2 linked regions of the Lepisosteus oculatus genome follow. The protein of the gene in region 2 interacts with the protein of the main gene of each other region in a pairwise test. Links are inferred from orthologs where the notes say so. Each region holds a gene or a part of one and is shown on either strand. Other genes may lie near its edges.

The links. The genes of interacting proteins can lie anywhere in the genome.
Region 1: the proteins of cep44 (region 2) and aquaporin FA-CHIP interact in binary tests that used the Homo sapiens proteins (3 or more experiments, as listed by UniProt). The link is inferred for Lepisosteus oculatus from reciprocal best matches to the Homo sapiens genes CEP44 and AQP1.

What each region holds. Positions count from the first base shown.
Region 1 is NC_090701.1:33,148,625-33,156,016, forward strand, and holds the start of aquaporin FA-CHIP, read left to right. Parts: upstream 1-4,326; 5' UTR 4,327-4,373; coding exon 4,374-4,736; intron 4,737-6,367; coding exon 6,368-6,529; intron 6,530-7,204; coding exon 7,205-7,285; intron 7,286-7,392. UniProt on the Homo sapiens protein: Forms a water channel that facilitates the transport of water across cell membranes, playing a crucial role in water homeostasis in various tissues.
Region 2 is NC_090696.1:73,394,576-73,401,665, reverse strand, and holds the start of cep44 (centrosomal protein of 44 kDa), read right to left. Parts: upstream 3,066-7,090; 5' UTR 2,992-3,065; intron 2,791-2,991; exon of another isoform or gene 2,509-2,790; intron 1,711-2,508; 5' UTR 1,665-1,710; coding exon 1,576-1,664; intron 1-1,575. UniProt on the Homo sapiens protein: Centriole-enriched microtubule-binding protein involved in centriole biogenesis. In collaboration with CEP295 and POC1B, is required for the centriole-to-centrosome conversion by ensuring the formation of bona fide centriole wall.

The sequences.
Region 1 (7,392 bases), on a different chromosome or scaffold from region 2:
GACACTATACTGTAAACGTCCCCGTCACTATACTGTGGCATTAGGACCCATATAGACCGCAGGGTGAGCGCCCCCTGCTGGCCCCACTAACACCACTTCCAGCAGCAACCTTAGTTTTTCCCCGGATGTCTCCCATCCAGGTACTGACCAGGCTTACACCTGCTTAGCTTCAGTGGACTGCCAGTTGTAAGTTGCAGGGTGCTGGAATTATGATATTATAGTCTAGGGGAAGATGGCATTGTAGCGGCGAGGCTTATTAATAAGAAAGAATTAAGTGAGCTGAACCTTCCCAAATGAGGCCCCATTTCTCTGTTCATCTCTGTGGTGCAGCCACAGAGAAACTATTCATGCAAGCTGATTTAGGGTTCCTTTGATAAGGACAGCTCCCAAAGGGGGATGCACTTAGCTAAGCCTGGCTATCATGATCAATGGTCATCCATTGGCGCCTATCTGTCTAGGGAGTGCCAGTTGGACATCTGGACTGCATTACTAAGTGTCAGGAGTAAGTGACTCATATCTCACCTTGATCAACCAATCAGGGACTGGTAGGGCCGAGTAACCCACGTGGGACTCTGATGCCCATGGAACTTTTAGGCAATCAACGAGCTGAAGTTCCTCCAGGTAAAAACAGGCAACACAGAGAGCCTGTGAGATTCAGTGAGATTCAGTAAGATTCTGGAGAGGATTCTGTGGACTGTTCTAAAGGGAATTCAAAGGAGAATTCCAGGGCAGGACGGCCCAGGAGCAGAAGGCTCCCAAGGGCAGGACATTCTCGCAGCGCGCCTCCTGACCATCCTGAGACTCAGCCCGGACAACCACGGAACGGCCAGTGTGTCCGAGTGCCAGAACTTTCCTTTGTTATAAGAGTCTCGAGTGGAGGTTGCCAGAGAGTAACCAGCATCAGGCCTCGTGAACAGGTCGGAACTGTGGACAGCTGAATCACTATTCAGAACTAGCTCTTCATCAGGAACGAACTGGTCCTCTTCCTGACTTGCTGGGACCCACAGTCATCTTTTCTCCTGTGCACAAACTTTGCTAACTAGCCGGTCAGTGAGCATCTGCAGCACACCGTCGCAAGCCGCACAGCACAGCCTGGCACGGAGCCAGAAAGCCTGGATTGGACAAGCAACAGCCTGCAACTGTTTCTTTGTGCCCGCAGGAGATCTGAATCCCCAGAAATTGGATGAGTATTCAACTTCAATGCATTACAGCTCGAGAATTCAATTGTTATCCCAACCAGTTGATATCAATTTAATTCCTAAGAGTTATGTACTTGTTTTGAGTATCTAATGTAGAAGTTATAACCAAGTTCATTTATGAAACGATCTTAATGAATGATATACTGACCGTATGTCCTCTTGATATGTGTAACTCTTTGTAACTGACTGAATATATACCTTTTGTATTCTGATAACCCTCTCGATAAGATATGTTAGGTTTATATGCATATTCTATGTATTAATAAATGTATCCTCGTGTACTAGTACCTGTGTGTGTGCATTGTTTGAGTTATGTCGCATGGTTGGATTCTAAAGCCATCAAAAGAATCAAGTTTGTGATTTACTGCTACAATTAATAATTGTCTCAGTAAATGCCCAAACCCTACAGAACTGGTGTCTTCAGAAAGCCACTGTGATTACATATTTAAGTCCCTGAGCCGGTTTTCTTACAGCATGAATGAATATAAATAGCTGCACATTTTGAGGCAGGAGACAAAGACTCCTAAAAAACTTCAAGCAAGAAAGCTGAAGAAAGAAAATACATGTGTATATAACATATTTGGGTTAAACTGCAGAAAAGAAATTCTAAGAACAAAACAACTGTTATATGCCAAAGACAAGCTAATACAGACATGGATGCAAGCAGTTTACTGTATAATATACTGTATTAGTTAGGAATGTACAGTATGTAGCAAAGATGGAATCATATTACTGAGTGATTTCAGTTTTCTTCATATGCATTTAATATTGTTATGGAAATACAGCAGCTCAAACTAATATGGTTAAAATGTCAATGAATACTTTGTAAAAGCACCAACCAGGGAAGATACTCTTATCAACCTAATCACTTAAAACAATCATAGTATGCTAAAATGTCTACAGTTTGATATTATAGTTAGTTGCTACTAACTAGTTGCTATAGCTAGTTGCTAGAAAAAATACAAAAGAATTACCATGAGAGAGAACAGAATATTGTAGCACAATTAAAAACAATACAAAGCATTTCACTCAGTACTATAACATTAAAACAATGATGATTGAGTAGTGTTTTAGATAGATAATATTTTATTAATCCCGTAGGGAAATATAGTAGTAAGTAAAGTTAATAATTGTATATGTAATATGTTACATTTAAATTCACAGAGATATCCAATGTTATATAACAAGCTCCAGCAATATTGTGTAAATTAAGCACAACTGATCTTGACCCTACAGTAAATCACTAGAATTTTCCCAGTCATTTAAAAGAATTGAAGTCTGTTTTCATAGACTCCAAAATGTGATATTTTAACTCTCACTTGAATGGGAGCAGTGTCCACAGATTGGAGAACTATAAATGTCTTCAGTTCATAATGAGTAGGGTAAATGATCCAGGAAACAATAGAGCAATAAGACTAATGTTAATGCTAAAGTGAAATGCAAATGATAGAGTTGCAGTACATAACAATACTAGATAGGACTATTGCCATAATCTAGTAGTCAATAGAATGGGCTTATAAATGGAATGTCTTATTTAACTATCTTGCTAAAATGCTCAAACAAACGACATCAGAGAATATTGGTTTTCAAATTTAAAACCACACAAATCCAAACTTGTTAATGCACACAATCAAAAACAGGTTAGAAAACAGGAAATAGTACATCATTTTTATAGAGCACAAACAGTAATTGGTCTGAAATAAGCAGTGGTGTGCTGGGACCCATTTTAGGCCCACTGCTCTATGTGATCTATAACAACTACTTTGTATTACAGTTAACAAGTACATTTTGTAGTGTACATGATAGAAAAATAATTGGGGAGTGGCAAACAAAATCAAATCAGCAAGGGAGTTACAAAGAGAGTTTTGTCTTGAGACTTCTGGCAAATAATTAATATGCATCTTTGCATTAAAAAGCAAAGTGATCCATATTGAAAGTAGGAACATACACGATACATGTACTGTAGCATGGTTGATTCTGAGTAGCAGTAATCTTTGCAGAAGATGTGTACAGTACATGTAAATTCCCATATGTCCACATCAAGACAATATGGAGACTCGATAAAAAAGCAAACAGGGAGGTCTGGTGCATAGAAAAAAGACTGAATTTTAAAGTCACAAATAATATAATTATGATTATTTGGTAGTAAGGATTCATTTGAATGAAAATAGTAAAAATGTATAAAGTCTTTTACAGTCATTGGACTGCGTACTACCTTTGCCATGTTTGTGGACTATGTATAAAAACGTATTGTTATAAGGATTCTAAAACTATGCATTTTACAATTGAATAATTTGAGTTTTCTACTAGGAAAGACGTATTTTAGTAAAATTTCTATGAATATAGTCAAATGTATGATAAAAGCTTCACATCAAATATATATGTACTGTACTATAATTTCAGGATTTTTAAATTCATGTAAGTGTATTTATCCTGAATGAAAATGTGTGAACATATGGGATTAAGTGAATTAATCAACATGCCTTGTTTTTGTACACTTGTTTATAATACTGTATATTGCTTATGTGATACTTTTAAAACCCCATTTGTTTGACCATTATTAGTACATAAGAACAAGAAAACTCTGATCAGATGCAGTCTCATTAAATAACTCCTTAAGTTGTTTGTTTTGTATTTAGATTTCACTTTTCTCTTCTGAGCAGAATTTTTCTCCATAGAAAAAAGGTTCACTTTGTGATGCAAATGATTAGACAAAATAACAACTGCAGTTCTTTTGCTTCCCCAATTGTTCAGGAGTTGCCACGACAATCAAAGAGAATGAAGGAGAAACTTTCTTACAACATATCAAAACCTTATGCTGTATTTTCCCTTTTTACCAATTTACTCCTTTAACTGCAATAAAATTGAAACAATATTAAATATTTAATGTTCTGTGATATTCAACACACAATTTTAAGGAATTTACCACCAATGATATGTCTTAGCAACAACTTGTATAAAACATTTTCTAGAAAAAGCTATTTCGATGAATAAAGACTTCCTATGAAAAAGAGGTGGAACAACTGTGAAAGCTCTTGAGGTCTCACTAATTCTGCATGCTTTTGATTTTCTTTGCAACACCCCCTCCTCCCACTATGAACTGAACTCTATAAATTCTCCAGAACGTCTCTGTGTCTGTAGATACCACATCAGACCAGCAAAGCCTCAGTCAAGATGAGAGAATTCAAGAGCAAGGCATTTTGGAAGGGAGTGCTGGCTGAACTAATAGGCATTACTCTCTTTATTTCTCTTAGTATATCAGCTGCTGTAGGGCAACCTAAAGCTTCCAGTCCTGACCAAGAGGTAAAAGTGTCACTAGCCTTTGGGTTAGCTATAGCCACTTTAGCTCAAAGTTTGGGCCACATAAGTGGAGCCCACTTGAATCCTGCAGTGACTTTTGGCATGCTGGCAAGTTGCCAGATCAGTGTCTTCAAGGCTGTTATGTACATCATTGCACAACTACTGGGGGCATCGATGGCAAGTGGAATTGTGTACGGAGTCAGGCCGAATGGAACTGATGTACTGGGAGTGAATTCAGTGAGTGTTTTTTCTTGCTTCTAGAAAAAAGTTTAAAAACTTTCTTTAAAGAGTGTATGCAACTGTTGCTAATTCACTATAATTTAATTAGACAAAGTAGGTAAATATTCATATTTTATTCTCTTTTACCTATTTTGTGCACAGATGTTTGAGTGTGTGTTTTATGCAAATGCATTGGATAATCATAACACCACCTGATTTCATCCATGTGTTTTATGCACAGAGAAATAGAACCTGAATGTGAATTAAGGTAATGAGAAGGACAGCACAAGTAAAACCACACAGTGACATAATTTATGTTCAGAATACTATTTTTTTTTTCTGGAAACATGTGGCATGTGCCTCATGGTCTTCTTTACAAATTATTTTATAATTTAAATTAGATACTAAACATGTGCTAAATGTATTGTTTATAGTTCATTGCTATGACACAGAATAACTGATTTAATAATACATACAAATAATATTACATGTATAATATAAAAGAACAAGGAGACAGATTACATATTTTACCTGGACGATTTGGTGACCTTAGTGTGATATAATAAAAAAGTTGAGAAGCTCTTAGCTAAAGAATAAAAAATGTAACACCGTATAGTACATATTCCAACAAAAACAATCAGGATAATGAGCAGTGGTTTAGTAGTTTATGATGACCTCTAGTGGTCTGTTCACTAGTTTGTGTTTCTTAATTAAATTACATCACTCACTAAATTCATTTAAAACTGTAAGACACATCAGCATTTTCGGATAACATATCCCATATAGATTTGATATCCCAGATCTTTCTTGAGTTAATCTCTAATTGTAATTAATGGAAGGTAAATAATGGACGTTTTTGCATGACTTTTTTAAATTGTCTTGAGCTCAACTGTTGAAATAAAGTGGATATTGAAGTTTAACACATGGAAAAATATTAAAAGAAATTTTAGTAGTTCAACTGCTACTAACCAGAATACCATTGGATTCAAAGGTTCATCAAGGAAGTTACATATTTTACATCAGAGTTCTTTTTCAATGAAGCATTTATAACTGCTTTTACCAGTAAAATAAAATTTGGGAGGAGAATCAAGTTTAAAAAATGATGTACTGAGATAAATAAAAAAATGTATAGTTACATAAAGTCCCTAGTGAGAAACAGAAATATTCTGACTTAGATTTATTGTAAGTAGTGCACTTTCAGTCTCTTATTGTACTTATTGACCATTACTGTATCAGTTCTAAAATAAAACTGTCCAAAAGTGTCATTTAGTGGGGTATCAATACTTTGATTATTCCATCTTTAAAAAAATCCTGTAATCAGTGTATGATTAATATTCTTATTTAGACACTTCAAACAAATGCAGGAGTGTGGAGAAAGCAACTCAGCTATAGTATGTTGTTGAAACCACACATCTTAAAAAAAAACCTGCATAAGATACTCAGATCAATTAGTTATCAGCAACCAGATAGACTAGATGGCCTTCTCTTCCTTGTCACCTTTGTTACCTTCTTATGATACCTAATAATATGTGATTTGTTGATATAATGTTCACAGGTAGTTTAAAAGTAAACAATCTTTTATCCAGAGATGACAAGAATCATTATTTTTTTCTCAACCTTTAAAATGTGTATCTGTCTTTCTTTTACAGCTAAACAATGTAACCTCCAGTCAAGGTGTTGGAATAGAGCTTCTTGTCACCTTTCAACTGGTCCTGTGTGTTATAGCAACAACAGATAAGAGACGGCATGATGTCACTGGCTCAGCACCCCTTGCCATTGGTCTCTCTGTGGCCTTTGGGCACCTTGCTGCTGTACGTCATTAAAACATGAATTCTTAGTATTCACTTCTGTAAGTCACTTAGAAATTGACTGAAATATAATGTACACCATAGAGTGGAAAAAATCACTGGTGATGACTAGCCAGTTCCAATTTAATTTAACAGCTGACTTGATCTACAGTATGCAAATGTATGTAAGCAGTTGGTGCAAAATGGATTGAGTCAGAGGCAGAGATTGAAATTAAAAGCCCCGGTAGAGTTAGATACAATACCCTTTTAGTGTTGCAGTCTGAGCAATTGCAAACACTTTCTAAATTTGCTCTGCTGCCAGCAGTAATGTTTTTCAAATGATGAATTTACAGAATAAATTTAAACTTCACCCACTTTCCTCAGTAAATGCTTGCTATTTTAGATCTAGAATTCTGTGAAACACTTTTTCTTTTAGATTTTTTAAAAATAGTTTTGAAGCAAAAAAACAATTCTGAAAGTGACCTTTGGTACGTTTCTGCTAGTATTTGAACATTTCAGGAAAAAAAAAACATGGCTTAATTATAAAAAAATAGATCCTATAATAACCACTTTACTTTATTTTTGTGTCAGTGAGTGTTTTCTCCTGCACAGCTGGTAAGATATCACGTATTAATTTGTCATTTGGATAATTAGAAAATACCATTGCAATCCCATGCAAATCTGTGGTTTTCTCCCCAGATCAGTTATACTGGATGTGGAATGAACCCAGCTCGATCCTTTGGCCCTGCTCTGATTACGTCTAACTTCAAAGACCACTGGGTAGGTGGAATGTGAAATTTAAAAACAAATAATGGAACCTTAAATTAGCACTTACATTACAGACTTCGACATATTTGTCTTACTTAAGATTTAAAAAAAAGTTAACA
Region 2 (7,090 bases):
TTGCATTCATATGGGACATAATTGTCAATTAACTTTGTTCTGATTTCCCCAATACAGTATAATGAGAAGTGATGTAACTCTTAAAACGTTCAATTTTAAACATTCCTCTAAGGTGGAGACAGGTTAACTGTCCTTCTTTAATCTATGTAGTTAACAGTCTCATAGTCATGACACACGGTGTTGAAAAACTTTGCTGTGGCCTATTTCTTGTGGAATTTATTGGGGCAAAAACGAGGCACACAATATATTGATGCAATTCCTTACACACAACTCTTTGTAAGTCAAGACAGAAATTACTTTCATAATACCTGCTGTGTATGCGCTTATGATGAAAACCATGCACATATTTTACCGCTTATTTCCATAAAGAGAAAGAATGTATACCATATGTATCAATACCACAGCACTTCTTAAAGCATTTCCTTAATTTTAATTTCTTTTAACTTTTTTTGAAACCGCGGACATAAGAAATTAATATGGTATTAATAAACCCTGAGGTAAAATAAGGTGATTCAGCCAGGGTAATAAATCTAACAACAGGTCCCATTTTTCCAAGTTGCCTTTTTCCTTGACAGTTTACAAAATGGCATGGTAACAATAAACTACAATAGCTGCCAGAATCTCTTCCTTTTAGAAAGCTGTGACCTTACAGCCTACAAAGGTTGAAACAGAAAGCATAACAAAAAATTACATCATAGGAAATTAAAGAAACGTGCTTATACCAGATGTTAATCTAACTATTAGTAAATAAAACCACATGTATGACATGAGATGTATAGAGGTTTTATAACAGGTCCTTAGAAGGAAGCAATGACTAAAGAATAAAGTAAAAATCTCCTGAGGGCTTCTTGTGCCCCTTAAACTGTAAGGAAACCTCCATCAGACATTATGTCCATCACATTTGCATCTAAGCAATTATCTTCTTTTGTTTATAGTTACTACTACATCAACCACTACTTAATAATATAACTTAAAATCAAGACAGTGGCTATAATAATGCAATGCTTTAACTGTTTTTCTATTAGTCTGGACATCTTCACAATGTATATAGGAAACAATATTGTCCTTTTGAGATTTCGTTTTCCCAAACATAAAATACTGTTTTAAAGGCAGGAGATTCAAGTAGAATAACTTCTAAACAGACCCCCTTCAGACTCTTGAATCATCATTTCTGCTTTAGGTCCTATTTTGCCTTGCTCAAGAGTTAGTTTTTTTTTCCCCCAAGTCATCTTTAACAGCTGCTTTAAAGTTGACGGGCTGCACGTTACAGATTCTACACAAGTTTTCTAAAGCTCTGCTAGGTTGTGATTCACAGATCACCAACAGCATTCACCGTGTCTGGGGATTTAAAGCTTTTCAGGGCCAACACTAGCTCAGAGGGTACTGCTTTTAATTGAGTCATACATTCTACACATATCCTTTATATGGCCTTATATACAGTATTTACACCAAAGTAGACAACTCTTTATCATTACAATGAATTGGCAAAGGTGACAAGGCTGCATGGGCGGATGGGAGAAATGGAATACAAAAGACTTTCGTATAGCTGACAAACAATTATACAATCGCTCTTACCCAGTGTAATCCACTTCTCTGGGATAATTAAGTAATCGAAGATGTTGGTCGAGCTTTCTCAGACTGCCTTTCAGATCCCCCGTTGCCATTGTCACTGAAGATTTTTGCGTGTGTGTGTGTGTTTACCTGATGTTTCTGAGCATGAAAAAACAGTGGTCAATACGTGAAGCATTTTTCACTACCCGAATAATGACGATAAATTACAAAATACACGACTCGATTAAATGTAAGAATACATTCTGAAAGGTACCGACTACCGTACATGTGGTTTATCTGACAGTTTGCCCATTTCTCTTGGGCAGTATCTGTAACGTACTGTGCATTTATATCGTTTCTTGTTATTGGTACGTACCTTGCTACCTACAGTAACTAAACCAACAGTTTCCTATTAATTTATTAAATCAGTACAGTTGTGAGGAAAAGGGTTCTGTTTGAACTTATTCAGCTGCTTTCCCTGTTTCATTAAGTCGTTTCAGAAGCCAGGAAAATGCAGTGTTGCCACGATAACTCCGAGAACAAACAAGAACAAATGGATCGCCCACACCAGAACTGCAGCAACTGTTGTTTTAGATTTACTGTGATTTGTGCTGAAGAAGGTTATATATAAGGTTACATATTGTGGTGAGAAGACCACAATATGTAACCTTGAAAACGGTGCAACACGTAAACCGACAAATTAAGAGATGGTGCCATTAAAACAAAAGATACAAAGTGCAAGTCAGATGATTACTCTCGACTTGTTAGAATAATGCAATTTGAGTTCCACTGCAAACTTTGTACATGCACCAGCGCTAGGATTTGAATTACCAATAATAACATTTGAGCAATCGACAATTATTGCAAACTTGAAACTAACAGAACTTCGTAGGTCTTCTTTTAAAATGTTAAGTTTTTAACTACATGCACCTTTCCTCTTTAAAAAGTTTTACTTACCAGTTTATTTACAGCTGTAGTAACTAAAACTCAACAGCAATACAGTAACAGCAGTGACAATTTATATATCAGCTGTATCTGTAATTAAAATCTAAAACTTGTAAATGTTACACTCGGTTACTGTTATAAATCACGAATTTATTTTCAGATGCGAAACCCTGATATAAACTATCTTGCTAACTACCGTAAACACAATTCTCCTTTACAAAAAAAAAATCAGTTTGTTCCTTGCCGGGTTAATCATGGGAACTGCCGCCATTGGTTAACTACATATAAGCATACAATTATCTTTAAATTAAGAGACGCACATTCGATAACAATTAAAGTCAATCTGTTTGGCCCAGGTGGTGAAAATATTTTTTTTTTACTGAATGTAACGAAATTTTACATTATTGGATAGCATGAATGTGTTATGCTGGTTAAGTCTGTTTTTTTTATAAAGGAAATTGATCCCAAGATAGATTTACTCATTTACTTTCTTACGTCATTTCCACCAACAACACGGGACGTCAAAAGTGACAGCAGTGGAGAGGCTGACGGAGCGAAGTAGCTCCGGCGGTCACGGATAGGAGGAGGAGGTGGCAAGAGGCGCTACAGACGCAGGTTAGACAGTACTCGATCTTCCTGTGGAAAAGACGGGGCAGCTTTGGTCTCAGATGGGTCTGCTTGGGAACTGATCGCGGAGGAAAAGAGAAACATTCCTGCGAAAGTGCTTGTTAGTCTTCGCTGTTTCGTCGCGGCGGCGGTGGTAGAATTCCTTAGTTTGAACAGGTAGGTGGCGTTTTCTTATGTTTTGTTTTTCCCTTGTTGTTGCTGTTGCTGCTGTTGTTGTTGTTGTTGTAAATCAACCGAACTTAACAAAGAAGGGAAAACATTTGAGTGTCAGAAGGCCAGGCCAATCACAGCAGTGGCAGATTTCTGTAGAAGCCACCTATGGTGGAGTACAGGCGTGGACCTCAGTCAAGCTTGCTGAAGCGGCACCAGAACCGCTGGGACTTCTCGGGGAGCTTTTTGAACAAAGTCGTGCGCAGGACCTGTTGTTTTGTCGGACAATGCAGTAGGCACAGCTTCGTCACGCCTGTGACGTGCAGTGTTCAGTCGCCTGGTGGCACAGCACTTGTCACAAGTTGGCGACGTTCATTTTTCCTGAGTATTTGGTGATTTATGATCAACACTTGTTTTCACAGCCAACGGGCGACTGGATCTTATGAGTAGCTTCCCCGCGAGTTGTTAGTGAACTCCTGCTGCGGTCACAGCCGAACACTAGTCGAGTAATGCTTTAATAGTCGCCGGAGGTGCGTCGTTACATTGATTTTAATATCAAATACAAATATAAGAGATGTACCTAAATTCTACGAACTGTAAGTGTAGCCAATGGACAAAATACTTCATGAGAACACCAGATGCTGTTCCGTAATGCTTCAGGGTGGATAGCTGAACTGTAACACTTTCTTTGAATTACTACTGATATTTTTGGAGAGTTGGTTGTCATGCTTGTAGATTCTTGTCTAATGTAGCTATTAATGAAAGAATACTATCATAGTTATTTATCTGTGCCAGCAGCCTCTGCCCCTTTTGGCCTAAATCGGTCTCAGATCTCAGAAGCTTGCAGCGTTTTTCCGGTCAGAAACGTCTCCCTGGACCAGAATGTTCGCATCAATACCCCAGTCTGGTGACAGTGTGGAACTGCACTGTAGAAAGAACCAGTCCTTTAGCATCTGATGGCATTGTTAATGAGAGGAGTGCTTTTAACCCTGCTGTCCTATCTCTTTGGGATTGTGCATTCTGGCCTAAAAGGTTTCCCCCCAATTCAGCCATTAAATATATTTCTGACTTCTCGACCCTGCCTTACTTGTAATGAGGCTACTGGTGCATAATTGCATCAGTCATGGAGGCTGCAGTTTATATCCTACATAATGGAAGTAGTATTTGTAAGTTGGAATTATTATCACAGTGGGCCTGCTTTATGAAATCTTGTGCTGTTCAGCAAGACGCATCACATTTTATATGTGTAAACCCAAAGTAAGCACCTTACTTCAATTATTAACTTCTTTTTTTTTTTCAGACTCTGCAGGTTTAGGCCTTCTGAATCTCAGATGTTGACCCTGTTCTTGCTCTAGGCAGATCAGCAAAACGGAGCTGCGTACTCATGTACAATGCAGTAGGCCTATACAGTATGTGAAAAATACAGCAATCTCCTCACTGGAGGTTAGTGAGCATTTACATTTGAAAATGCCTTGAATCAGTCTTCTGTTTCTAAATAAGCGTATTTGCTTCAGAAAGCATGCCTTAATCTACCCCCTTCATTAAATGTATTTTTTTTTCTTTAAGAGAATCTGTATTTGAATAGTAGAGACGGCAGTAATCAAATTTAAGTGTAAAATAATGTATTATCACTGAACTGCGTTTTTGTTTAGTAGGAACCACCACTGAGAATCAAGTACTTGATTGCCACCTAGCCTACTATATGTTCGGAGTCGAGTTGTATAAGAGTATCCTGCAAGATATCAGGAGTTTTCCAAAAAACCTATTATGAATAAAATGCATCTACTGAAGCTACCTCCGTTTGCTGTATAGTGGTTTCCAGTCTATGAGAAACACACGTAACACCATAACAAACAAAAGGGCAGGAAATCCCTTTCTGGGAGTAGTGTGTTATTGCAAGTTATTTTTGGTTTCAAGTGAAACCTGTAGACTTCAGATATTTTACTGAAGAAAATCTGAAATGGCAATATCGAGAGAAGTGTTTGAAGATGGCTAGCACACTGGCACAATGCTGCCTCTCCGCACTGAGGCCCTGGGTTCAATTGCTGGGGTGCTATCTGCATGGTGTTTGTATGTTTGTACATTGAAGCACCCAGAGAAAACCCACATTTTCTCCAGGTGCTCTCTTACAGCTCAAAGACATACTGGCAGGTTAATTGGCTGCTTGGAAAAAGGTGCAAAAGTGTGTGTACTCTGTGAAGGACTAGCGTCCCATCCAAGGTGTACCCTGCCTTGTGCCTGTTACCTGCCTGGATGAGCTCCTCCCCTTCTGTGATCCTCTGGTGGAGAATGGATAAATAGACATCTGTTTGAAGAGAACAGCTTGCTGGATAGGTGCTCATATTGAGTCCTGGTATATTCATTTAAGTCTAAAAAATTTTGGTTCATAATTCTTCTTGACAAAAATTATGTTTCAAAGTTATTTAAAAACTTCAAACCAGATGTACCTGTACTTTTTTTTTCATTTCAGCATGTAATTTCATTCTCCCCTTAATATCAGTGATTTCACTGCTGAAAACAGATATAACTGTGTAAGCTTTTTTTATTTTTTAGATGATTAGGTGTTTTATAGAGTCTGTTAAAGAGTTTGTGTGTATATCCATGTCTGAATTTGTATGTGTTGGTATAGCAGTGTTTTATGTTTTTGACTGAGGGAGCTATACAGTTATTAACCCATCAAAACATTTGGTAGGTAATGTTTGAAGATGGGTGGCACATCGGCACAATGATTAGGATAAAGATGCACACCATTCAGTTTGTTGGAAAAAAATATTTTTAGACTTGTCATTGTGTTAAATTATCTACGGTATATCTGACCCATTTCAAAGTGTAGTTGGAATGAGAGGGATGTAGCCAATGGATTCACGTCACAAGCTAGTCTTAATAGAGCAATTAACGCTTCCCTTTTCAGCTTTTTCCCCGATGCAGAGATGGAAAAAAAGTAGAATATTGCAGAATTTACCATTAAATTGAGCTTTATCTCACTTGGTCATTTAAAAATATAAATGTCTATCTTTTGGTAATGTTTTTCAACTGTGAAAATGGGATGGATGCCTTGTGCAACGCTATTGAATAATCCCTGATCACTCATATTTGTGTTTTTATGTTTTTTAAGGTTTTTGTACAAGATTCTGTACCGTGTGCATTACCATTAATACAGAAGGTTTTCTGCTGCATCAGAAATAAATAGAAATCAGTACTGTAGACATGATATAGGATAGGATTTGATGTTTTGCGCACATCAGGCCTCTTAACTGGCATCCTCTCATTTATAGCTTTGTGCTTTTAGCCATGTTGTTTGAAATTTTGAAAATAATATGCATTCTATTTTATTTACTCTTACAAAGCTTTGCCCACTCCTTATCTTGTCTGTACACTCTATGCTAGAATGTTGAAAAGCAAGTTCAATTATAGTGTCAGAATCCTAAAGCTGTCCTGCCCACATTACATTTTAAACAATTAGAAATATTTTAGGAATGCCTCTGTGGGGGATGATTCTGTTAGGTTGTGATCACAAAGCTGGTAACTTGGCAAAATAATTTTGAATCCCATTATAATTAAACAAATAACATCATAGATAAAGCAATGAAGGTGCTCTCATCCCAGACCAAATATGTAAAGATATGTTTACGACATAATTATATACTTCTAAAATAATAATAAAATAACCCCACTTTAGTTAGCCTATTAATTCTAAATAGGTTGAAAATCCAAGTACACATATGAAGAAGGGCTTCTCCTCTTCCTTTTCAGGCCTGTCATTTACTGTGTCAATGTAAAGTTGATATTTTAGATCTCTTAAAACAAACGTCTTTTG